Linked DNA regions of Drosophila melanogaster. The protein of the gene in region 1 interacts with the protein of each later gene in a pairwise test. Each region holds a gene or a part of one and is shown in the gene's direction. Other genes may lie near its edges.

Region 1 (10,359 bases):
GTCCCATGCACCATGCCCTCTACTCGGGCAATCGGGGCCTCTTAGAGTACAACAACTATACCAGTTCGGCGGCCGCGGCGGCAGCCGTTGCCTCATCCGTAGCCACCTCCGTATCTGTGTCCGGTTCGGGTTCGGGATCAGGATCCGCGGGAACCGCAGCCAGTGCCTCAGCAAGTGCAGCGAACAGCGGTGGCAGTGCGTCTGGAACGGCGGTGCTGAGCCTCGAGAACAATTTCGCACAGCAGGGTAATCCCCACCAGCAGCAGCAGCAGCAGCAACAGCAGGGCAATCCCCACCAGGAGGTACTCCAGCAGCAGCAGCAGCAGCACCCCCTGCATCATCATTTGTCCGCTGGCGTTGTGGTCGAGGCCAGTCAACTTGGTGGCGTTCCGGGTCTTGCCAATCTTGGCGTGCCACATCTCAGCGCCCAGCAGTCAGTGACGCAGCAGGGCCAATCCTCGAGAGCGCAAAAGGCCGCCCGCCGGAGAAGCAACGAATCGATTGAGGCCAGGGAAAGGCGGCTGGAGAGAAACGCCGCCCGGATGCGGGACAAACGGGCCAAGGAATCGGAGGCCGAGTACCGCGTGCGTTTGGCCAAGAATGCGGAGGCGAATCGAGTGCGACGCCAGAACGAAACGGAAGTACAAAGAACCCTAAGACTGATGAAGAATGCAGCGCGGCAGCGACTGCGCCGCGCCTCGGAAACCGTCGAGGAGCGTAAGAAGCGGCTGGCCAAGGCCGCCGAACGGATGCGAATCGCCCGGGCCAGTGCGCCCAAGGTCATCAAGCCGCCGCTGGCCGACAGGCTAAAGGGTTACTAATGGAGGATCGTATAATCGGTTAGCCTGGATTCAGGCAAATACGCCCATTTGGAGCTGGCTCTCCGGCAGAGCAGCTTGGCCGAGCAGCCCTAAAAGCTGGCCAGGATCGGCAGAGGAACACAGACACATCTACAAATTATATATATATATAAACATATATATATATTGTATACAGCCTATAAGAAAAAAGTTTGAGATAAGGAAACCAGTCCGAAACCAGAAGGATTCTTGAGGACTTGCAAATGAATGGGCAGCAGGCACTCTAGGATTAAAGCCAGGCAATTTTTTTTTTTAAGTTAAAAATTAACAAGATGAAGTAACGTAATGTAATCATAAAGTAAAGTATTTTTATAATGCATGCATTATATTCGTACGATATGTATACACACACGACACAAAAACCAATCACACACACACAGACACACACACACCCCCAACCCCCACACACACATGCACTAGCATAGTCATTGCCACACATATAGAGCCCCCAAAAAAGGGCAGTAATATCCCCCACTCCCCCAGGAAAAAGGAAGCTTACAGCGCCAGGGTGCCTCACTGTAAATAAAAAAAAAAAAAAAACGGAGGGAAAATCGCCAACGACTGGAGGTACACCTCCCAAGCTTAACAAAAAGAAACCCGAAAAACTAAATATTAAAATAATTACTGAGCATCGCGGATGGACGAGGCAACAAGTGCCTTTCGAGGAAATCCTCGGGCGAAACTTGCTATAACATTCAAAAATCGTATTTTTCCACAACAACTGAGGCACCCTAGTGACGAACAACCCCCATATGTGTGTGTAAGTTGGTAAAGGCATGTAACCCAAAACGGACAGCGCCACTCACATAAGGATAATATACACACACTCGGCAGCTCCCACATAAATATATGTATATATACAAATTTATATATATATATATATATATATACATATATAGTTGGAGCATACACACATGATCCGTAGCCAGGCACATAACGCAATATTTGTTAAAGCACGCAATCCTTCCTCCCTTCCCCAGCCAACATCCAACCGCCCACTTTTCCTAGACCTTATCCTTATCCATATCCTCAGCCTCTTCCCACGCCCATGTCCTTCCGCGCGGGCCCACATGATATATACATGATATATATTTATATATACATATATATACATATGTATATATATATATTATGCTAATTATTATTAATAAAGTGTAACCATTAAGTTCTAGTCGAAATTTCAAATTGTTTTTCTCCTGTCTAAATACGTTTATCAATTGTTTTTTGCCTTAAGACATAAGATTGAGATACATTTTTGTGTATTGTAATATTCGTGTACACTAACAATGACAACACACAACAAGAAAAATCAACAAACAAAACACAACACCAAGAAAGTGAAAACAGAAACAGAAAAATATAAGCGAAAAAAAACGAGAATAACAAAATGAATATACTTGAATAAAGTTGCATTCACAATTTTTAAATGCTGCGTTCTGAGCTTTGGTGGGAATTTAATAGGGAATAGTGATAATCTAAAAAAAAGTAAAAGCGTTATCAACCGGAAATGATCAGGAATGGTTGATAATAACACTACAATTTTGAAAATTTCCTTCAAATCTGACAGAATGTCCTCGATGAACCTGAAGGGTGGGTCCCATTCTCAGGATCGCCATCCGTATGCTTGTTGTACATTTAAGTATCACAGCAATTAAACAAATTAAAAACTCCCATCTAAAATACATTTAAATATAAAATATAAATAATTTACAAACTCCATTCAGCACATGCTACTGAACTAATCCTATTATATATACGATTATCTACGATTATCAACGAAATGCTCTTATTGGAAATAATATAGTTTCTAATTTTATATAAATAGTTTAATTCACTTTTATAAATCGCATTTATTCATTTCAAAAAGATTTGAAAGCTTTGGAATGTTAATGCCCTGTTAACATAACATAACATAGTTGATTGTTATGTAAAGTAAGCTTTAAAACAGTGTGGCCAAGAGGCGAAAATTTGTTACAATTGAAATAGAATTATCCATGTCTTGACGTTACGCTTGATTTTTAAAAAATCGATTTCAAACATCAAGCTATCGACAAGCTGATCTAACTATAACATTAAGTATGGAAAAATAGTACATATATTCTGTAATATGGTACTGCAAAACTGCAGCCAAATAATAATATAAATATTATCTGCCTGCAAGACTAATTTCCAAATTGTAAAATAAACCCGGGCGATATTTCAAGCGGAACATCGGTTAATCAGTTGCATTTTCCAATGAATCGACAGCCTGCTCAACTATCGATGTATCGATACTTTTTACCATCCCTACTGTGAACAGAACGATTGTTGAAATGAAAACAACTGAAATAAGATGAATTAAATTAAATTAAAGATACAGTACCACGGATTGCGAACAAGTACGCATACTTCAAGTTAATGACATTACGGTGCGATCGGAAGTGGCAGATATACGCTGGTCCCAGCTATGTGGAAAATTCCCGGTAGTTAAGTTAACGCTGCGCCGCCACAGAACATCCTTTTAACCCACCAAGAGAAAAGGCGCCTGGATGCACCGCAGCACGGCGAATAAATGGAATTACAAATCAAAGGGTTAAGGTTTGTGCAAAAAGCAAAATAAGGAGCGGAAAAAAACTCGCACACACGTACGTTGCGTATTGCTTCGTTGCGCGTGTGTGTGTGTGTGTTTAGCAGTGCGTGCTTGTGTGTGCGGACGGCGGCTGCATGGGTGTGTGTGTATAATCATGTGAAAAATCGATTGGCAGCGCAGAAGCAGCGCGGCGGCGGCGCCAATTGTCACTGACTCGCAAGAAGAAGCACGCTTTTATGAAAACGCACGAAAAATTGTAATGGCCAAATACGAACGGTAATAAAGTGCATAATGCTAAAAATGGAGAAGAAGAATACCGCTCATAGCCAAAAAGGGAACGAAAGAAATGCCCGAGGACCACAATAACAATAGCGGAGTGATCGCCGCAAAAATAGAGTGCGAGAGAGAAACGGCGCCAGCACACACATATTCTTTATATAACTACTAGTAAGCAAAAAGCGAAACAAAACAAACACAAAGAGGAAACGCCAAGGAGCAGCGGACGAAAAAAAGAGCGGGAGACGGCCCAGAGCGTGCGAAAGAGAGGGGGCGAGCAAGAGCGCGGCCCCTAGATGTTATCGAAACAATCGGAAGGACTGCGCTCATCCTTTCGATAACCAAATACCCATCGTCTATATACACATATATAGATATATATCTATAAATATATATATAAATATATATATATACATAACAAACAGTACACTTTTGGAGCCCCGATAGACGACAATTTCGATTGTTGTTGCCCCGGCTTTTGACCAAGAATGGAACCAGATCCCAATGGGATAAAAATAGAGCCCTCACTTGATCAGCAGCAGTACGCCACCCATGTGCTGGCCATCAATGGCTCCAATGCCCGCCTGCTCATCGAGCATCCCTCAGCTTTGTTGGTACCACTCTCCTCGCATCACCAGCTGCAATTGCAACAGCAGCAACAACAGCAGCAGCACGTACAGCAGCAACATCAACAACAGCAGCAGCAGCATCAGCAACAACAGCAACAGTTCCAGCAGCAACATCTTCACCAGCAGCAACAGGATCAACTGCAGTTCCAGCAACAGCATCTCCAGCTTTATGCACCACTGAAGCAACAGCAATTGCAGCAGCAGCAATCGCAGCAGCCACCCACTCCATTGGGACCCACCAGCAGTGCCAGTTCCGCATCCATAACAGGTGCCTCCACCACTGGCCACCAGCAGAGGTGGAACGAGAGCCCCGAGGCACGCCAGCGCCGTCTGGCCAGAAATGCTGAAAGGATGCGGGAACGCCGGCAGCGCGAGAGCGAGGAGGAGTATCGCAAGCGACTACTCCGGAATGCAGAAGCCAATCGCCAGAGACGCCAGAATGAATCCGACATAGAGCGGGCCATGCGGCTAGTGAGGAATGCGGCCAGGCAACGGCTACGCCGGGCCATGGAGTCGCCGGACCAGAGGGCCAAACGGCTGGCCAAATTGGCCGAAAGGATGCGCATGTATCGCGCCAGCGAGACGAACGATCAGCGAAAGCTCCGGCTGGCAGAAATGGCGGCAAGGGCGCGCCAAAGGATCGCCAATGAGTCACCGGAGGAGCGGAAGGAAAGACTGAGAAAGCTGAACGATTATGCCAAAAAGGTCAGAGAAAAGAAGAAGGTACTGAAGCATGTTGTGGTGCACGGTGGTTCGTCGTCGGTGGTCGTCTCAACGCCGACATCCTCCTCGTCGTCAACGGACCAGCAGCACCACCACCAGCAGCAGCAGCAGCAACAGCAGCAACAACAGCAGCAGCAACAACAGCAGCAGGTGCTGGCTGTTGCAGCAGCAGCCGCAGCAGCGGCGGCAGCCAATTGTACTAACGAACACACTATCAATCTAAACCAGGCGACCACCACAGCGACGACGACGACAACGGACGAGGCAGGCACCCCGCAGCCCGCGGAGGATCAGCAGCATCTGGTGACAGCAGCCGCCTATCAGCAACACCAGGCCCTGGCCGGAGTGGAGTATATGGGACAGGGCATGTTTCTGGCGCCCGGCTCCCTACGTCCACCCATGCAACTGAAGCAGGAGCCACAGACGCCGCAGCAGCAGCAGATTACACAGCAGCAGCTGCAGCAGCAGCATCAGCGATACACCATCACCGGACAGCAGCAGCAACAGGTTACGGCTGCTCTGCTCGAGGGCACCGAGCCGGGCAGCATCTTTGTGCAGCAGATCTATGGCGATGAGGGTGGCAAGGGCACCGCAAAGCTGCTCCAGGCCCATGTGCCGCACTTCAGCATCGCCGGTGGCCAGCTGGAACTCTACCCGCACAAATATGCTGCCAAGAAGCAGGAACTTCAGGTGCGTATGCAGTAGGCGTAGTAGATAGCAAGAATGATCGGCGATAGCAACTAAATCACGCACACACACACAAAGTAACGCAGCAAAACTAAAGTTTGGCATCCTCCAGGAACCTCATCTTGCCCATGAATCCATCAATGTAATTTGTTATCTAGAAACACTATTTATTTGAAATCTAATCGGTATTAGAAAAAAAGGGCACTATCTACTTCCAGTAAACGTAAAATCAAAACATGATTAGCCTAATTTAGCTTGATTCCTGAATAATAACAATAAATGATTTTTACAGTTGCAGAGGAATTTGGAATCGAATACAAATTCGTAGCGCTGGTAAAATATCAAACAATTGCCAATACTCGTAAATTTCAAATATTTTCCTTGCAGTTGGCGAAATCAACTGCCTCAAAGGAAAATGCTTGAAACCGGAAAGTAGGAATTTTGAAAATATATAGAATTCAATGGAAATTGGCAGAAGAAGCGGCCAATGGACCTCTCTTTTTTTTTGCGCGTTGCCTTACCCGCATTTTAACTCCTCTTTTGATCAAAAGCGAAAATCGTATAAGTTTATTTCAGTTAACATTATTGTTCGTTGTTCATATTACTTGTGTTAGTTCTTTTTTTTGGTCAGAAGCAAATGAATTAATCAATCGTATAGAGTGTAGATATATGTAGCAATGTAAATCTTGAACCTAAGAACAAAATACTTTTACCAACCAGAAACAAACAAAAAGTGGTTTTAATTCCCTTGTACAGGTGTGCGTTCGTGTGTGTGTGTGTGTGTGTCCTCCATCTATCCCTTTCGCTCTATCACTCGCACTCGGTTCTTTTCGAAAACCAATCTATAAGACCACCTTCAATCACATCAATCAATCTTATCACTCAAATTACGAAATTAGGTTGCAATGATTTGTAAAATTCAATTACCGAAGATTGCTGTGATTGCGAAGATTAAGATTTATACCAGAATTCCAAACCGATAGTCCCATAACCCGCAGAATCAAACCGACTCACCCGTTGGCTTGCCAATCCCTTCTATCCCTTCTTGCAGTCGGACAACGATGCTACGGTATCAGCGGGCGGCAATGATAACAGCGGGTCTGTTAGCCTCGGCCACAACGAGACCAAGGTGATCGTGACGACGGCCAGCGGGGAACAGAAGCTGCTTAAGGCGACGCCCGGCCAGGCGCAGCAGCTGTATAATCAATTCCCCTACCTGGCCACCTTCCCTAACACCACCAGCAGCGGCAACAGCACCACCAGTACCACCAATGTCGGACACGTGGGCGTGGTAACGGCGGGTACAACAACGGGCGCCGGCGGTACAACCACCACCGCCTACTATCCAATGTACCACAATGGCTTCCAGATTGGCATCGGGCCGAATGCAGTGCCGCCGCCGTTTACGCCCGTCAACTTTGCCAACGCCAGTGGTGGCAATAGTCCCGGACAGTATAACATACTGGCGGCGAATCCAACGCTAACGGTCACTGGATTGGGACAGCAGGAGCAACAACAGACAGGCGCGTCGTCGGCGGCGGCGCCACAAATTGTGACCACACCTGTTGGCAGGGGCAGGCCGCGAAAGAATCCGTTGCCCAGCGAGGAGCAGCTAAAGGTGAACAGTCTGCTGGAGCAGGAGCTCAATCAGATGCTGTCCGCACCGCAGCTGGCCACCAGTACGCCGCGTCGCGGCAGGCCACTGTCGCAGGCATCGCAGCAACATCATCAGGAGCTCAGCCAGATTCATGTACATTCCACGGCCGATGGCGACAGTCGAACGCCAGTGTTGACGCCGCGACGCAGCGGTGCTAACAAATACGAGACGGAGGAGGAGAAGCGAATACGTTTGGACAAGATGGCCGCACACCAGCGAGCGGTGCGTGCCAATGAGACGCCCGAGCAGCGGGCCACGCGTCTACAGAAGCTGAGCGAACGGGCACGACTGAAGCGGGCCCAGATCCGAGCCACCGAGAATACGGACGAGCGCAAGGAGCGACTGTCCAAGCAGGCGGAATATGCGCGAATGCGACGCATGCGCAGCCACACGCCGCGCAGCAGCAGCGCCACCAGCACCGAGTTCCGTGCCAAAACCGAGGAAGAAGATGAGTGCCAGGACGATGACACCAGTGCCGAGCATCATATGTACGAAAGTGAAGCCGTTTCGGTCACTGGCACGGGCAGTGATGGTGGCTTCGTTTCGGTGGTGAAGGCCGACAACGACGATTCACCATTGGGCGGTGGCGATGGCTCCAACGATCACGAACAGTTGCCGGCGCTGCAATTGCAGCAGCATGAGCTGCAGCAGATTGCCGGCAGCCTTCAGCAGCAACATTTGGTGCCGCATCCGCATCACGAGGCGATTGTGTTGAACCAGCAGCACCGCCTGGTGACCATCAGTCAGCACCAGCAGCAGCAGCTCCATCAGCAGCAGCATCCTGGCTTCAGTAAACTGCAGACGGTCAAGGATTATGCAAATGCAGCCGGCGGTGGAGGCGGAGGAGGAGCTGCTGGTTCTGGCGGCGGCAGTGGAACGGGAGCACCCGAAAACAATGACATGCTAAAGATACTCGAGCCAATCATTGTGATGAAGACCAAATGAGGTTCGCGGAGGCGTCACAGTCGCAGCACCAATCGCTAGAAGGGATATGTGTGGATGACGTGCTAGCCAGGCCTCCATTTCCGCCGGAATATCAGGCGTTGGACGCACAAACGATGGAGATATCTGCGAACAGTAGGGATTGTCTATAGTTATCAATAAGCGTATATTTTTTTTTAATCTGTTTTTTAAAGTGTTAATGTACTTCAATGGTAGATTTTGTAAAAAGTCAGAGTAAGCGGAGATCAAGGATCAAGTGCAATACGGATGCCTGGCAGGCACAAAAGTCCACCGGAAACCCAGAAAGCTAAATGAAATGAAACACTGTGACGCCCCGAAAGCCACTGAAAATCGAAGAAATGCAGCTAAAATAAAAAGATAACTACGATCGATGGTGGAGATCCAACTAAACCTAATCCAGAATATGTAGCGCGTAAACAGAGCACTAAGTAGTTGTATGTATTAACTATTAATTTTTTAAATTAGCAAAAAAAAAGCAAAAAAAAAACCCAAAATAACAAATAAATCTAATAAGATCGAAACAAAACGGTCAATGGCAGCGGTGTATGGGATGTATGTGTGGTCAGCCAGTGGCTATCGGTTATCGATAGCAAATGCAGAGGCGAACGTGTTTTTGCATGTTGCACGTCTGGCGCGCACATGACGCGCATGACGCGCACCACATCCGCTGGAAATTTTTTCCAAAGGCAGCCTTTCTTTCTTTCTATTCCTACTCATTACGGTAGTGGTTGTCAGCGTGCAGGTGATGGAAAAGCTCTGGAGGATCTGTATAAAAATCATAATTAACTTTTTAAAAATGTGTTCATATTTTTTCACATTTTTATTGGTTTGGCAATTTTCTATTGATTTGCAAAAAATCTGTTTTCCACTCCTAGATTATTCTTCGTTTTACTGTTTGTCTTGCAGATTTTTATCAGTAGAAGCCCAAAATAACAAATAAATCTAATAAGAACAAAACAACACGGTCGATTGGCAGCGATGTATGGGACAGATGGTCAGCTAGTGGCTATCGGTTATCGATTGCTGATAACATCTTTTCATAAACATGTTTACAACGCTCCACAGCGAGGATACGGAATATTCGGCAGATTCTGTGGAGTGGCTGACACACGATGATGCGGCAACGGGTTTCTTTGCCTGCGGCACCTATCAGTTGGTCCAGGAGGAGGACGAGCCGGCGGCGGAGACTTCAGCCAAGCGTCCACGCAAGGGTCGCGTTTATTTATACCAGTTTGAAGAGGAAAACTGCCGCCTGGAGCGGCTACAGTGCATCGAAACGTCTGCCATTCTCGACATGAAGTGGCTGCCGGCCTGGAGCAGTGAGTGTAATCCCCACCTGGCCACGGTCAACTCTTTAGGCCAGATGGAATTGTACGAGTTTCTCCAGGATGCGAAGCTACTGCAGAGGCGTACGTGTTTTAGCCTGGCGGAGCAGGATTCGTCGGAGGAAGCGCCATTGGCGCTGGCCCTAGACTGGCAACATGACGGGCAGCACATCCGACTGGCCATCTCCGATTCCAAAGGCGGCCTAAATCTATTGAGCTACTCATCACAGGGTGAGATAATCCGCGAACGGTCGTGGTTGTCCCATGGCTTTGAGGCTTGGACCTGTGCCTTTGATCGTTGGTCACCGCACATTCTGTACAGTGGTGGCGACGATATGCTGCTCATGGCCCACGATCTGCGCACCAAGCAGCGTGCGTGGACCAACCGGGCGCACATGGCTGGAGTCACCTGTCTGCTAAGTCATCCGCGGCACGAAAACCATCTGCTCACGGGTAGCTATGATGAGCAGTTGCGTCTCTTCGACACCAGATCGATGAAGCGATCACTGGCGGAACTGGACTTGAGCGGAGGCATCTGGAGGCTGAAGCCGCATCCTGCCCAGCCCGATCTCATCCTGGCCGCCTGCATGTACACCAACTTTAGCGTGGTGCAGCTGGATGTCGCGGCACCTGGCCTGAGTTTACTGGGCGCCTATGAGGAGCATAAGAG
Region 2 (6,445 bases), on another chromosome or scaffold:
GTAATCCACATCTCACTCACCTGTTGTGAAGTAGGCCCTTAGGTCGTTAAACACCTGCCGCATGCACTCGTTGAAATCCTCGTCCGACCAGTGGCAACGACCCAGCAAGTGCTTCAGATCCGTATCCACGTCGATTTGGCTGGACGCGTTTGCCAAGTGGTTGGCAAAGAGCGAAATCCCCGCCAGGTAAACCAGAAGGCGAGCACAGTTTGAGAGCGACTGTTGCGACATGCTCGTGGTTTCAGTTTAACAGCAACTGTTTGTCTTCTGTTAATTTCAAAGGTAAATGTACGTTATGTTTTTATTGTCTTTATTGTTTTGAGTAAACTGATTTTGTGGGCGTGAAGAGCAACCGGTGTTTGTTGTTTAAAGTGTCCTTGTCTTTTGCATACAGTTGATCGTCTACTGAGTTGTTATTAGTTAGTTAGTTATTTTTTCTTTTATTGATTTATAAGTAGTTTATGGTGCTTTTTAAGTTCCTTGATTTCAGGTAAATTTCAATAAGTTAGGAATATGAAAGGCATTAGATAGGCATACAAAATTAAGCAAAAAAATGTATCGCTGAAAGTATATGTTAGCCATCGGTTAGTTGTTGAATCTTCATTACTACGAAAAATGTATTTGATTTAGTAATTGTTAAATACTTTTGTATAGAGTTGTAATTTTTCCAAGATAGTAGTTGTACAGTTATCATACGAATTTTATATTTGCATGAAACTTAAAGACTTATTATTATAATTGCCATCGTAAAGACTTCTCCTAGCACCGAAAATAAAAGACACTTCTTTCTCATCGCAAGCTATTCAAACAGCCTCATCTTCATGTAGTTCGTTTTGTAATCTTTTTGTTCGCCGCATGCACTTGACCCCTTTAACTTAAGCTCACCGACTATTACTGGGCTGAGTACTGCAGCAAATAGATAGCGTAAAAAGAAAACTACAAACATGACAAAATCGTGCGTTAGTATGGAAGCATGGTAACAGTGGTAAACGAAAGACTTCAACAAGACACAAACTTGGGGGTGCGAACAACTTTTAAATCCACTTAGAGGCGGCAGCCAGTCATGCAACGCGAGAGCAACAACGTATGATAATATTTGGCAATTCTTCAGTTTAGCGGTTGCATTTGCAACCAAGTTGACCAACGGTCAGTTATTTAACAAAACAAGTTACCTAGCTACTTAGTTTAGTTGAGTTTTCCGAACTCCCGAGCTTTAGTTTCACTTCCAGGCAATTTACTTCTGGTTGTTCCAAATATATAGTGTAGCCAAATATGAAATTCTGGAACTCGTACGCAAAGGCGCGCAAATATTCGAGAATAATAATAGCTTTACAGTTATTTGCGCCGAATACGCGACGTGAATCAGGCGAGCTCCCGTAGCCAACTGAACCACTCGAAGACGTAGGAAACCAGAGAAAAAGAGCTTCCACCAAAAGTGGCAGCAGCAGCCAAATGAGCCATAATAAAAAAAAAACCACAAAAATAGCAGGAAAATGTTTGAAAGCCATAATATGGCCGGGCACAAAATTGAGCTTTGTCAACTCGGCTTAGAGTTTGACACCCCCAAGTCGCGTTTCCTCATGTGCAAAATGAACAAAATTGAACAAAACGGTCGTAAATCACCAGCAGAAATCATTCATAAATTCCTTTAGAAATGCGTAGAATCATTTAATTGACCGAGATGCGCACTAACTGATAACCATTACTTAGCAAGTTATTATTAATATTATTTCATATAATTTTATAGCATGTTTGATAATAATTCATATTAATGTCCCAAAAGGTGAACAAAAAGTAAATACAAAATTCATTTGAAATAATACAAACACTTTAACTATAAAATAACTTTTCATTTCTCTTAACACACTAAATATTTCTTGAACTTTACATCAACGAGTTGAACGACCTTAGAAATAAATATTTCCTTCGCTGTCTATTTCAAACAATAACCCATCACCGCTGGTTGAAAAGTGATCTGAATTTAATGAGGCAATATTTATTAGACAATCCCATGTCCGTCAATGGGTATTATTCAAGTATGAAATCAAGTACTCACAGCCAGCGCTCAAGTTCATGGGATTGAATAAATCAAGCGACGTGATTGACAATCGTAACGATTGACGGCAATGCTGCCGGTAGGCCAGAAGAAGATTTTGTGGACTGTTTCTTTTGGCAAATGAAAATACAAGGTTGCAGCTTCAGTTGTTATGGCTGATTGCGATTTAATGAAAGGACAAGGTCGCTCTTACAGAAATTCAAAACTGGGCTGAAAACATGCGCCAGCACTTTGTAGCACTTTAAGTGCGATAACAAATGGTGGGCATAAACTGGAAATTCTGCTTTAATTTTGCTCAAAATTACTTAATTTTATTACAATCACAGCCTTTAGCACAATTTTATTTCTTTCGTTCTGTAACGTTTTTAGATATATTTTTTTTAACTAAAAGGGCCGTGGGAAGCATTTTGTAAACACTTTATTAAAGGAGGAAGCATTATTTTTATTTTTCTTCTCTTCTGATGTTGGAATCCTTCCCATTTGACATGCATATTTAAATTACAAGTTTTTTAAATTACAAAGTTAAAAATAAATGAAGCCTTTAGGTATTTTTAGATATTTTTAACAATTTCGAATTTAAAAGCTTGATAGAAACTTTTATCTTATAATTCAATCTTTATAATTTATAGTTTACTCTTTATTAAATAAAACCCAAATATTTCTTACAAACAATTTTATACATTTTATTAAAATTTGTATGTTAACATTTCCCGGTTTGAGCTCAGTATTTTCTGTAATTTGTATGTTAACAATTTCTTATTGGAGCTCGGTATATTCCTTTCAGTAGGTATTTTCCCCTGCGCATAGATGGTCACACTAAGCGGTTGCTGGTTTGTTTATAGTTTTTGTCCGCGAATTTTACTTTAACTTTAGCTATAACTAACAATAATGGAGGTGGAATTCAGTAGGGAGAACTTCCTGCTGCCGGAGATGAAGTACGAGTGTGAGTAGTTCTTCGATTTGCAGGAGAATAATCTGTTGCTAAATATTTCATCACATTGCGTTGCAGACCTGGATCACACGGCGGATGTTCAGTGAGTAAGATAACAACAAAAACAACAAGTGTGCCCGTTAGCCATGTGGAGTAGGGTGGTTCGCTATTTGTGAATGAAAAATCCAGATGATCGTATAAACTAGATTCTAATAAGCGCTTTCGTATTAGAATTTGAGATATAGCAAACATTCTGAAAAAGAATTTATTTTAATTTATACATATTTTAAAGCCATTATAATTTTTCATATTTTCCCAAACCTATGTATTATGTTCATAGTTAGGGAATACGGCTTTTTAAACGTCAAATGTATCTGCTTTTTTGAAGATTATATGTAATGCAAGTTTTTTCTGACTTTTATATTATACTACTATCGCTTAAAACAACAAGACTATTATTAAGTAGTAGATCATAAATAATTCTTTTACTACGCCACTAAAAGGCAGCAGTTTTGTATATAAATTATAACTTACGGCTACAATAGACATAATTAATTTACTTAATATAAACGGATGATGTTGGAATCCTTCCCATTTGACAGAATCCACGGATGGGGATCGTCGCTGAAAGAGGCGTTCGAACAGTGCGGAGTGGCCATGTTTGGATATATGACCGAACTGGATTACGTGTCCGTGGAGCAGTGCTTTGAAATCGAAGCGCATGGAGATGATCTGGAGAGCTTACTCTTTCACTTTCTGGACGAGCTGCTGTTCCTGTTCTCTGCCGAACCGTATCTGGTGTGCAAGAAGCTGGAGATCACCAAGTTCGATGTGGAAAACTTCGAGATTTCCTGCCATTGTTACGGGGAACCATTTGAGCTGGGGAAACATCCGCAGGGCACCGAAGTGAAGGCAATCACATACTCGGCCATGCAAATCATTCAGGACGTGGAGGCCAGCAACTACGAGGTGTTCGTGATAATTGACATTTGATCCAGCGGCGATCGCCGGGAATTAAATGTGACTGTTCTGTTTCAACCCCTTTGCCTGTCTCCATTAATCATAAGTGAAATGCCAAAAAACGATATAAAAACCGCTGCATAAGCCCCGAAAAATTTGCAATCTCTCGTGCTGCGACTGCATCCCTTGTCGATGAGGATGACTTATCAAGAAACCACTCGATTGTGCGGCTGCAAATGCAATTAGGACTGGCTTCCTTCTCACCGGTCTGATTCCGGAATCAAGATTTACCCTTTTGCCTTCGAATTTTTTGTGTACTATTCACTTTTTTTTTGCCCACTGCTTTGTGAATTGGCAACGTGTTGAATTCCCAGACAAATGCCGAATTTGTTGTCCTTTCCCAGGCCCCAGTTCAATGCACTTTTTATTCGGCAGCCTTCAGGAGTTGCTGACGCGTTGGGTTGCATTAAAGAATTAAGTTGTACTTCTTTTTGGGGAGTCATGTCGAATAGGGCAGTTAACAATGCAAGTCAAGGCCATAGTTTTAATGTTATGATTGACTTGATTTGTTCGACATAAAGTATAGAGAATGCGGGGCCTAAAAACACAAACATATTTTTTTATCAACAATAATTTAGTTCAATGAATGTAAATCGTAATAAATATCTATACGATTAAGCAATCCCTAATTCTAAATATCAATCCACGACGATATCAACAAATATTAACGCTTTTCAAAAAACCGATTTCCTTTGAATAACGCGCTATTCTCGAATCAGTATTATTCGGATGATTTTCGCGTGAGCCGATGTTATTTAGTGGCCGATGAGCGAAGTCAGCTGGTAACACCGAGCGATTTGTTTTGAAACAGCTGACCGCACCGTCAAAACCCAGAAAGTAAACAACAAAAAAAACATTTGCCGGGCAACGTCGCCCAACATATGGGCCCGTTCTTGTATTTGTGTGGGTGCGTGCGTGCACGAGTATGATGATTTTTCCTTGGAACATCGGGCGAAGAACGGCGAACTGAAAAATATACGCTTTTACAGCTGATTGATATTAAAAAAAAAGCAACGCTGCGGTCGACGAGCCATACGAATGAGCGTGCGAAAGAACAAACAAAGTATGAAGGCAAATAGCCCGCGGACACACACGCACACACAAACGGCCAGTTGGTCGATTCGCTTTTAGCTTTCAGCTTTTCGAGTGCGTCAAAGTTAAAGTGGCTGAAAAACTTGGTAAAAGTACCAATCGCCAAACTGACTACAAGACAACAGTTATTCGCGGTTATATTTGGCGGAAAGTGGGTGGCACACACGTCAGTCGCCCGTACCGCTGTTTGTTGTTGTGTTTGCTGTTGCTTTCCAATTCGCCCCGCCAATTCGCCGCACCGCTCATTCTTTCTGCAGCCACCAATTGTCATGGTGTTAAAGTGAAGAGGAAGCAGCAGCCCGTGAGCACATTGTGCGCTAGTTGTTGCCGTTTTACACCCAGAAATCGCGGAGATATCGCCCTGAAAGCCCAACCAATTGACAGGTGACGATCTCACCTATAATTTGCGATCAAAAACACAAAGCTAACCCAAGGGGAACCTAGTGAAAAACGTGGCCGAAAAATCCATACGAAGGCGGAATGGAAAAAATGTGGTAGGTAGTACTAGAAGTAGAGAATGTGACATGTGTGTGTGTGTGCATGGTTGTGCGTGTGTGTGGGGGGTGCTGCGCTGGGCATTTTCTTTATAACAGCGGGCCGCAAGCGAAACAAAAAACAACTGTTTTTGGGCGTGCGCCCAAAACGCCGGCTAAAAAAGTACATATGCAAAAAATTGCATGCCGGTCCAGCTGACATATCACCTGCATCAAGAATAAGACGTATGATGTGAGTAAAGTGTCGCGGGCGGGGGGAAGAGACAACCAAGGGTGCTGTATGATAATGCGCACTTTATATAATTGCAGCTACCTGCCATCTCTAATGTTTCGTGCTTCTATCTGTATGCGTATATGGGTGTGTGGGTGTGCGGGTGTGCAGGTGGGTGGCAAATGGCTAACGGACTTCTGTCAAATTCCAATTCATGGGATCTCCGCGCTGACGTCACTAAGATTTCATTTGCAAACATTTCAATTTGATTTATCTCAAGTGTAAAGTCGAGTTTTAGACTACAGTGAGCACCCCAAAAGCAAGAAAAAGTGATTGGTTTCAATTGGTTTAAAAATTTCATATGTTCTAAGAATATAAAAATGCCCACATCTCTCTAGATTTCAATCAAAAACTACAGTGCTCTTTCCTAAAAGGTCGCCCAGTACTTAATTGTTAGTAATGTGTAAAAACCCCATATTTTTTTTATGTCAGATATTACTATCGTTTAAATTCATAAATATATTAAGCAACAAATGTAGTATTTTATCCACATTTTTCTGTTTACAAAAGTTTTTATCCACAATTGTCGGTGGCTATAAAAATATAATAGGCAATTTCCAACTCATTTGATTTCTTAGCAT
Region 3 (7,621 bases), on another chromosome or scaffold:
TGTACTACATGAAACAGCGGAGCAATCAGTTTCCCAAGGTATAGGGAATTGTATCCATTAGGTCTTATTATCTAATTGTATAAAATATAATATATTTTCACATTGATGAATAGCAAGCAGTGAGCATTAAGTTCAAAATATACATACTACTCGGTTTAAGTAGTAAAAAGAATAGACTCTTTTTCCTATAAAGGCATAACTTAGATGGGGCATAAATTCATTAATTACATTATTTGTTATATTATCAAAGTAATGTCACGTCTTGCAGGCTGAGTTCTTTCCGAAGAGCACACGATATTCGGGCTCGATTTTATTCTTAATAAATTTAGTCATTTCCTTCGCGTATTGAAGACGAGTGGAGTCAGCTTTGCTGGATTGCTTGATCCCAGGACTGTGCACTAGAAATGCGGGACTCAAGACATGGTATTCGTAGTCCAAAAGGCACATAGCATAGTTCTGCAATAAAAGGTTGCACTGTGAAACGGAAACTTGACTACAGTAGTAACTCACCTGTATGCGCTTGTTCGACTGACCCTCCCACGTGACGCGTTCGTCGAACAGTGGCTCCGTGTTATCGCTTACATAGAAGGGCTCCCAGGCTCGGAACTTCCATTTTCGCAGCGCCTTGCTAAACACGTGCAGATGGTCATCGGCTCGAGAGGTTCGATTGAGCCACTCTTCTTGGCCAGGAATAGTGTGGCATGTGGGGCAAAGCTTCAGGTGAAACACCTGCGCCTGCTGCTTTCGATAGAGGGCCAACAATTCGTCCTTGTCTACCGGCACTTTGGCGCCCGTTTCGATCTCGAAAACGGGTAGAGGATACACCCTTCTGCGTTGCCGCGGATCCAGTGCAAGGACACTGTGGTTTCTGGCCACCATGTCCAGGAATTGGTCGACGAAGCCCACACTGGGATACAGCTCGATGTCGCAGGCAAAGATGAAGTGGGTGTTGGTCGCCAGCCTGGCTATATTCCTGCCCACATTGATGGGGTACGTGAGGTTGGCCCTTGACTTGTAGCTATCCGTGGTTGGGATTTGCGTGTAGAGCGGCGATACCAACGATCCATTGGCCAGGGTGCACATGTGCGGATACATTAGTACCTCGGCCTCGTCATATGGCACGTATTCCGGCATGTGCTGATTTGGGAAGTACACGTGAAAGGAGACCCAGTCCTTGATGCTATCGCTCTCCGGCAAACAGTTTCGCACATACCGAATGGCATCCAGTGTGGTGTTAAGATCATAACCTGGAGTGTGGATGGCAAAACTAACTGGAGCACGCCAACTGGAAAATAAGTAAATTAAGTTAGCAAAGAAATCTTTATAGATTGCTATTAAGTGTTTATTAGATAAAAGAGCACTCACCGTGATACCACCATTTCCAGATTATCGAAGAACGTAAAGTCCCCGTTGGTGGTATACGTCACGGACTCGGCACAGCCGACTTCCCGACTCTTTCGTCCCATGACAAGATTCTGAAGCAGCCAGAACTCTCCGTGCTGAAGCCTCTCGAAACGGAGCGATCGGTCGCGGCACTTGAGCAATGATCGCAATTCCTTGGTGCGAGCGGAGTCCTCTCGCCGGATTATTTTCGGATGCTGATCATTGGCGAGATGGAAGTTTGCAGAAAAACGTGAGGGATTCGACTCGTTGGACAGCAAAAGTCCTACCGACTTTTGCCCACCAGTATTAGAAGATGCGGCCAGTTTCTGGGCCTGCTGCAGGTTCCTCCAAACCAGCAGGAGTGCCACATTGAACAGTATGAGCACTGGCCACAGACGGACATATTTCCTATTGCAAAAACTTATGGTCGCCATGCTGATTTCGAGAACATTGATTCACAGGAACTCCTTAACTAACAGAACACAAAGAACTTATTGACCTGTGAACGGAAACAGAAATATTGATATAATTCCGTTGAAAATGGATATGGAAATCGAAAGAAGAGTTTATGGCAGCGACTGAGCTTTTTGTCTGTAGTTATGTCTAATTTACTGGGCCTATTGTATGAACTGAAATTAGTGCTGTACTCATCCGATAAGATTCCATGTAATGTGGTAGCATGCAAGGGGGTTCATCGATGTTTTATAATGTTCTGATAATGGGGCTGCCCAACAATGAAGATGACTACCTCCTTTTACCCAGTAAAACTAAACATGATTTACGTACTCTGATAAAAACGGTGACATTTATGGTACCATACACAGAGAACAACTTTTCACTTTACCGGCTGACACTTTCATTTCCATCGACAAGAGTTTGCACATTAAAGATTAACCCATTTTATGACGTACGAAACGACGCAAATTGTTTGAGGGATTTTTTTCTGTTAAGATTAAAAGTTATTTCACGAACGAGACAGACAACATTCGGCGATGAATAATGGAAACAGACTAAAATTACTGAAGTTCCCGCGAAGCTATCATAGTTCAAGTGATTTTCTTATCCGTCTAGTTATCAATATTGTCGTATTTTCCTATCCTTATCATAACAATTCAGTAGACGTAACCAATTGATAGCGCTAATCGAGTGTTAGCCAAATACATATATGGTCAACAGACGATTAGGCGGCATAAACATGTATTTCTTACTTTATCGATTTTAATATCTTATCACTATAATCAAATACCTTTAAAAAAATTTTCTAAAAATAGTTTTCTTTTGAAATCGGATTCTCAAGTATTTCATACTGCGTACTTATGCTAATTAAAAGGGAGCTCATTCTGTTAGGAATGAACTTACTAAACTAATAATAGTTCGGTAATTGAGTCAATTAGTTGTGGTTTTCAATTGTCAAAAAATTTAAATTTATTTTGGCGCCGATAAGCGATACTAATAGTGTACTAAAGTTAGTATTTAGTACTTTTGTATCGATTTTCTTATCGATAAAATTGCTAATTTAGGGCCATCCCTATTGTCAATGGTGCGTTTGTTTACATTCACAAAAGTTTCAGTTTCTGCTGTAAGTAATATATACACGTCTAGCCAGGATGTCGGACAACGATTACGAGCGTTTCGAGATAACGGACTACGATCTGGACAATGAGTTCAACATCAATCGGCCCCGAGGCCGCCAGAGCAGGCACCAACAGATCTACGGTATGTATTGAAATACATGCCGGAATTTGTTTGTAAACGAACTTTCTGTAGGTATTTGGGCGGATGACAGCGAGGAGGAGAGTGGTGGCGAGGGCGGAACTAAGAGAAGGGGGCGCGCCGCCCGTAAACCCAAAGACTACACCATGCCCGTCAATTTTGTGGCCGGCGGCATTCAGCAGGCGGGCAAAAAGAAGAAGAAGGCGCTCCAAGCCGATGATGAGAAAGGATCGCAAAAAGAGGGAGCAGAGGCTGACCAGGGCGAGGAGAGCGACGATTCCGCCGCCAGCGGACGGCCAGCCTTCGGCCAGAACGATCCGGGCAGCTCCAACAGCTCATCAGAAGAGGAGAGGCCAACGCTGAGCCGGAAACAGCCAAGCACCACATTTCAGCATCGCTCCCACATCGCCAGCGAGCGCAACGTGGGCGCCTGGGAGCAGCATACACGCGGCATTGGAGCTAAGCTACTCCTTCAAATGGGCTATGAGCCTGGCAAGGGTTTGGGCAAAGATCTGCAGGGCATTTCGCATCCTGTGCAAGCCCATGTCCGCAAGGGCAGAGGTGCTATCGGCGCCTATGGACCCGAAACTGCGGCAAGCATCGGAGGAAAGACGAACAAGAGCATCAAAGTGGATGAGGACGTGCGCGAGGCGAAAGAGTTCAAAGACCAGCTGAACAAGTGGCGAAAGGGCTCAGCCGGTGGCGCCGAACCAATGGAGCGGCAGGGTAAGCGCTACTACTACAAGTCCGTGGAGGAGGTGATTGCCAAGGGTCACACGTCCGGCCACCTACTGTCGGAGAAGCTAAGCAAGAAACTGGGCAATGTGCGGGTGATCGATATGACAGGCCCAGAGAAACGAGTGCTGAGTGGCTATCATGCCTTGGGACAGGCAAAAATTACGCCAGAGGAGACGCTCTACGACACGGAGGCGACGGAAAAGGGATCCGCTCCCGCCTGCGTTTTTGCCATGCCCGAGCTGACGCACAACCTCCAGCTCTTGGTTAGCCAGTGCGAGCAGCAGATCATCGCCATCGACAACCAGGAACGCGAGTGTTCCAGCCAGCAGGCAGCGCTGGAAAGCGAGCACCGGAAACTGGAGGAGATAGTCCAGCTAGAACGAAACCACATACGCACGCTGGAGGAATCGTTGGAGCGCGTGGAGCGGTTAATCGATAATCCAGACTTGAGTTTACCTCAGGCTGAACGACTCTTTCGGGAGCTGCTCGTGGACTACGCTGCCGAATTCCATGAGTTCGGACTTGCAGATCTGGCAGCCGGTGTAATAGCGCCGCTCCTGAAGCGAGAACTAGTTCAGTGGCAGCCACTGGAAAACCCAACGGAACCGCTGCCACTCATCAAGAAATGGCGCGGCATGCTCCAGCAAGGAGATGCAGCAGAGCAGCAGCCCCGCAACGTCTTCGATCCGTACTCCTCGCTCATCTGGGCCGGCGTGATGCCTTCGTTTCGGTCCAGCGCTGCCGCATGGCAGCCGAAGGAGCATCCGCCAATGGCTTCACTCCTAGATGCCTGGGCACCCCTGCTACCTAGCTGGGTCTTGGATTCGGTTCTCGAGCAACTGGTTCTGCCACGACTGGTGGCTGGTGTCCAGGAGTGGGATCCGCTCACCGACACCGTTCCGATCGACAGTTGGGTGCTGCCGTGGCATGCCATCTTGGGCAGCAAGCTGGAGGAGGCCGTCTATCCTCAGATCCGCAGCAAATTGGGTATAGCATTGCGCGCCTGGTCACCGCATGACCGATCAGCCAGAGCCATGCTTACGCCCTGGCAGAAGGCCTTCCCCGAGGAAGAGATGCAAGAGTTCCTGCAGCGGTACATAGTGCCCAAACTGCAGGCGACTCTAGGCGAGCTCATCATCAATCCAATGCACCAGGACCTGGAGCTGTGGCAGCAGGTATGGGAGTGGCACGAGCTCATCGATCCCATGTACATGGCCCAACTACTGGACAGACACTTCTTCCCGCGCTGGATGCAAGTGCTCGTCGTCTGGCTGAATCAGTCGCCGGACTACGCGGAGATCTCGCGATGGTACACCGGCTGGAAGAGCATGTTGAGCGAACCGCTTCTGCGCGAGCCCAGCGTTAAAGAGCATCTGCGGCGAGCACTGGAAATTATGCACAGAGCCAGCGATACCCTGCTGCAGCCCACGGTGACGCCCACGCCCCCGCCTCCAGTTCCTCCGGCTCCAGTCATAATGATGGACCTGATTCATCCGCCCGCTCAGCTGGAGTTCAAAGAGTTGGTATCGCAGCAATGCGCCGACTTGGGAATCATCTTCGCTCCTCTGCCAGGGCGACGGGAGATGGGCAAACAGGTGACTGTTAATCCATTTTCGACCACAGAGCGTTATATACTAATAGATTTATTGCATTTACAGATTTATCGTGTGGGAAAGCTGTTTTGCTACATCGATCGTCACGTCTGCATGGTCAGCGATGGCAGCTTCAGCAACTGGAAGCCGGTGTCGCTAAATCATCTGCTAGAACGCTCTCAAACGGGAATTCTTTAAATAAATAGCTGCGAAAATGTTTAATTGGCTTGGAAAATGTTTAATTGGATTGGATCAGAAGCTTAGCTCTTGCTGTTCCCTAATAAGTTTGTAATATAAGGTGATTGTATGATGAGATGGCTCTGCAGATATAAGCAAATGTCTAAATATATATGTAAAAGTAATCAGATATATTATTCTGTATAAAATTGAAACGGATTTGAATATTTTTGAAATTGATATGATTACATCCAAGTTTTTCACCACGGTTTGGGTCCGAGCTGCATGCTCCATGAATTTAAGATGTAAATATACTGGCAGTATTTTTCGGTATATATTTATTTTGTGGGAGCATGGGTTTGTAACGTGCGCGTTGAAGTAGAAGTACACTAGAAGTATCTTTAGTGTCTTTGGTTGAACCGATTAATAAATCTTTAAAGTCGAAATTTGATTGTTAATAATGTGGTTTATGACATGGATTGGCTGTGGTGCTAGAGAAGGCGGCATTATTAAATAAATTTAAACTCCTTCGCTGTGAGGCGGATTTCTGGAAATCGGTGGATAATTTTTAAAGCATTTTTCAGGATCATTATATAATTAGGCTTAGCCTATTAGCCTATAGGGACACGGTAGTTTAGATCAGCGGGACACAATTCGCAAAAAAAAAGTCCCCGAGTTCCAATTTCCACCGTTCCGCTATCGTCGCTAATTTGACGCACATTTATTATACATTATTATTATTATTATTATTATTTTCTTCTCATTTAACTTTTTTTACAAAAATATGGAAATAATGTTTGAAAAACCGGAGCGGCCCATGCAACTAATCGATATCCGCAGCCGGGCAACGATGATGGATAGATAGATAAATACATCGATAGTATCGGCTTGTCATCGGCCCGCTGCCACCTCTGGCCATCGCAGCTGACTCTAGAACGCGTCGTGGAAATAGGAATAAACTGACTGAGTTCGCGTTCGGTTCGTTTGGCGCACGCAAAGCAAGCAAGTAGTGAGCCAGATGCGGTTCGAAACGGTGCAGTCAACTGAAGCTCGCGTAGTGCAATACAATTAATTGTAAAACCAAGACACAAGCACTCCTATCGCGATAGGCACTGTTAGCAAATTGAAACCGCGTGTCTTTCGTTTCGCTTCTCCCGCTCTTTCGTTGCACTTCGCCCACACTATTCGCCAATGCAGTCGTGAGTGCGTGTGTGCGTGCGTATTCCCCCCCAAATTCAATGAATTCGACAGGCGGTGCAATAAAAGCGCAACTAAAACAAAAGTGATTCCACCACGTGCGCCACTCTCTCGCGTCTTAAGTTCAGTTGTTGTAGCTGGTTTCGTTTGTTTTGCTGGCGTCTCGCTCTAACAGCTCCCACTGCTAAATTTACCGCTCGCCGAACAACCGGCACGGAAATATCCGTTGGATTAGGAGGACTCACTAACGGGACACCCGCAAAAGGACATCAAAATGGTGCAGGTGTGTAATATATTTAATTTTAAAGCACGACTATATCAAAGAAGCTTAAATGGTTGTTCAATAATATTCCTGAACATAACATAATGAAAATATTATATCCATCTATCACTACTAAGATACAGGTGTTAAGTTTGCTAGTTATTTGCTAGTTATAATTTGTTGTATTATTCTAAATACACTAGATTCAGCTACAGTTTTTTACAGTACGGTCTTTATTTATACTAAATAATAATCAAAACCGCTTTTTATAAAATGGAATACTATCCATCAAAAATGTATATCCTTTCTTTAAACCCTAAAAATACTGCTTATGATAATCGAAACGATTATTTAACGTCAGATTTTGTGGTATATCAGCATCTTAAGCGCATTATCCTCGATTGCCAGTTTGGTATAATTTTAAGTTTTACACGAAATTAATTTTATACACTTTAATATCTTGAACACTAAATCCATGTGCTAGTATTATTTATTTGCCATCAATCTACGTAAATCTATGTTGGTTTCGAAAAAAAATTCATTTCTAGTTTCCAATTCA

Evidence for each region.
Region 2: the proteins of CG14442 (region 1) and Archease interact in a two-hybrid assay, tested with the Drosophila melanogaster proteins (one large-scale study listed by BioGRID).
Region 3: the proteins of CG14442 (region 1) and sip1 interact in a two-hybrid assay, tested with the Drosophila melanogaster proteins (one large-scale study listed by BioGRID).

The regions. Positions count from the first base shown.
Region 1 is NC_004354.4:6,687,791-6,698,149, reverse strand, and holds CG14442 (uncharacterized protein), read left to right. Parts: upstream 1-3,148; 5' UTR 3,149-4,193; coding exon 4,194-5,747; intron 5,748-6,036; coding exon of another isoform or gene 6,037-6,072; exon of another isoform or gene 6,073-6,077; intron 6,078-6,131; exon of another isoform or gene 6,132-6,468; intron 6,469-6,795; coding exon 6,796-8,346; 3' UTR 8,347-8,854; downstream 8,855-10,359. Other genes in the region: CG14440 (uncharacterized protein), read left to right, coding at 1-821; CG3184 (uncharacterized protein), read left to right, coding at 9,410-10,359.
Region 2 is NT_033777.3:21,659,364-21,665,808, reverse strand, and holds Archease (archease), read left to right. Parts: upstream 1-2,836; 5' UTR 2,837-2,944; coding exon 2,945-2,999; intron 3,000-3,065; coding exon 3,066-3,090; intron 3,091-3,589; coding exon 3,590-3,980; 3' UTR 3,981-4,623; downstream 4,624-6,445. Other genes in the region: Jhbp16 (juvenile hormone binding protein 16), read right to left, coding at 21-231. UniProt on the Drosophila melanogaster protein: Component of the tRNA-splicing ligase complex required to facilitate the enzymatic turnover of catalytic subunit RtcB.
Region 3 is NT_033779.5:5,718,146-5,725,766, forward strand, and holds sip1 (septin interacting protein 1), read left to right. Parts: upstream 1-2,905; 5' UTR 2,906-2,990; coding exon 2,991-3,099; intron 3,100-3,150; coding exon 3,151-5,429; intron 5,430-5,492; coding exon 5,493-5,624; 3' UTR 5,625-5,799; downstream 5,800-7,621. Other genes in the region: CG11149 (uncharacterized protein), read right to left, coding at 256-1,285, 1,366-1,817; CG11030 (uncharacterized protein), read left to right, coding at 7,075-7,083. UniProt on the Drosophila melanogaster protein: May be involved in pre-mRNA splicing.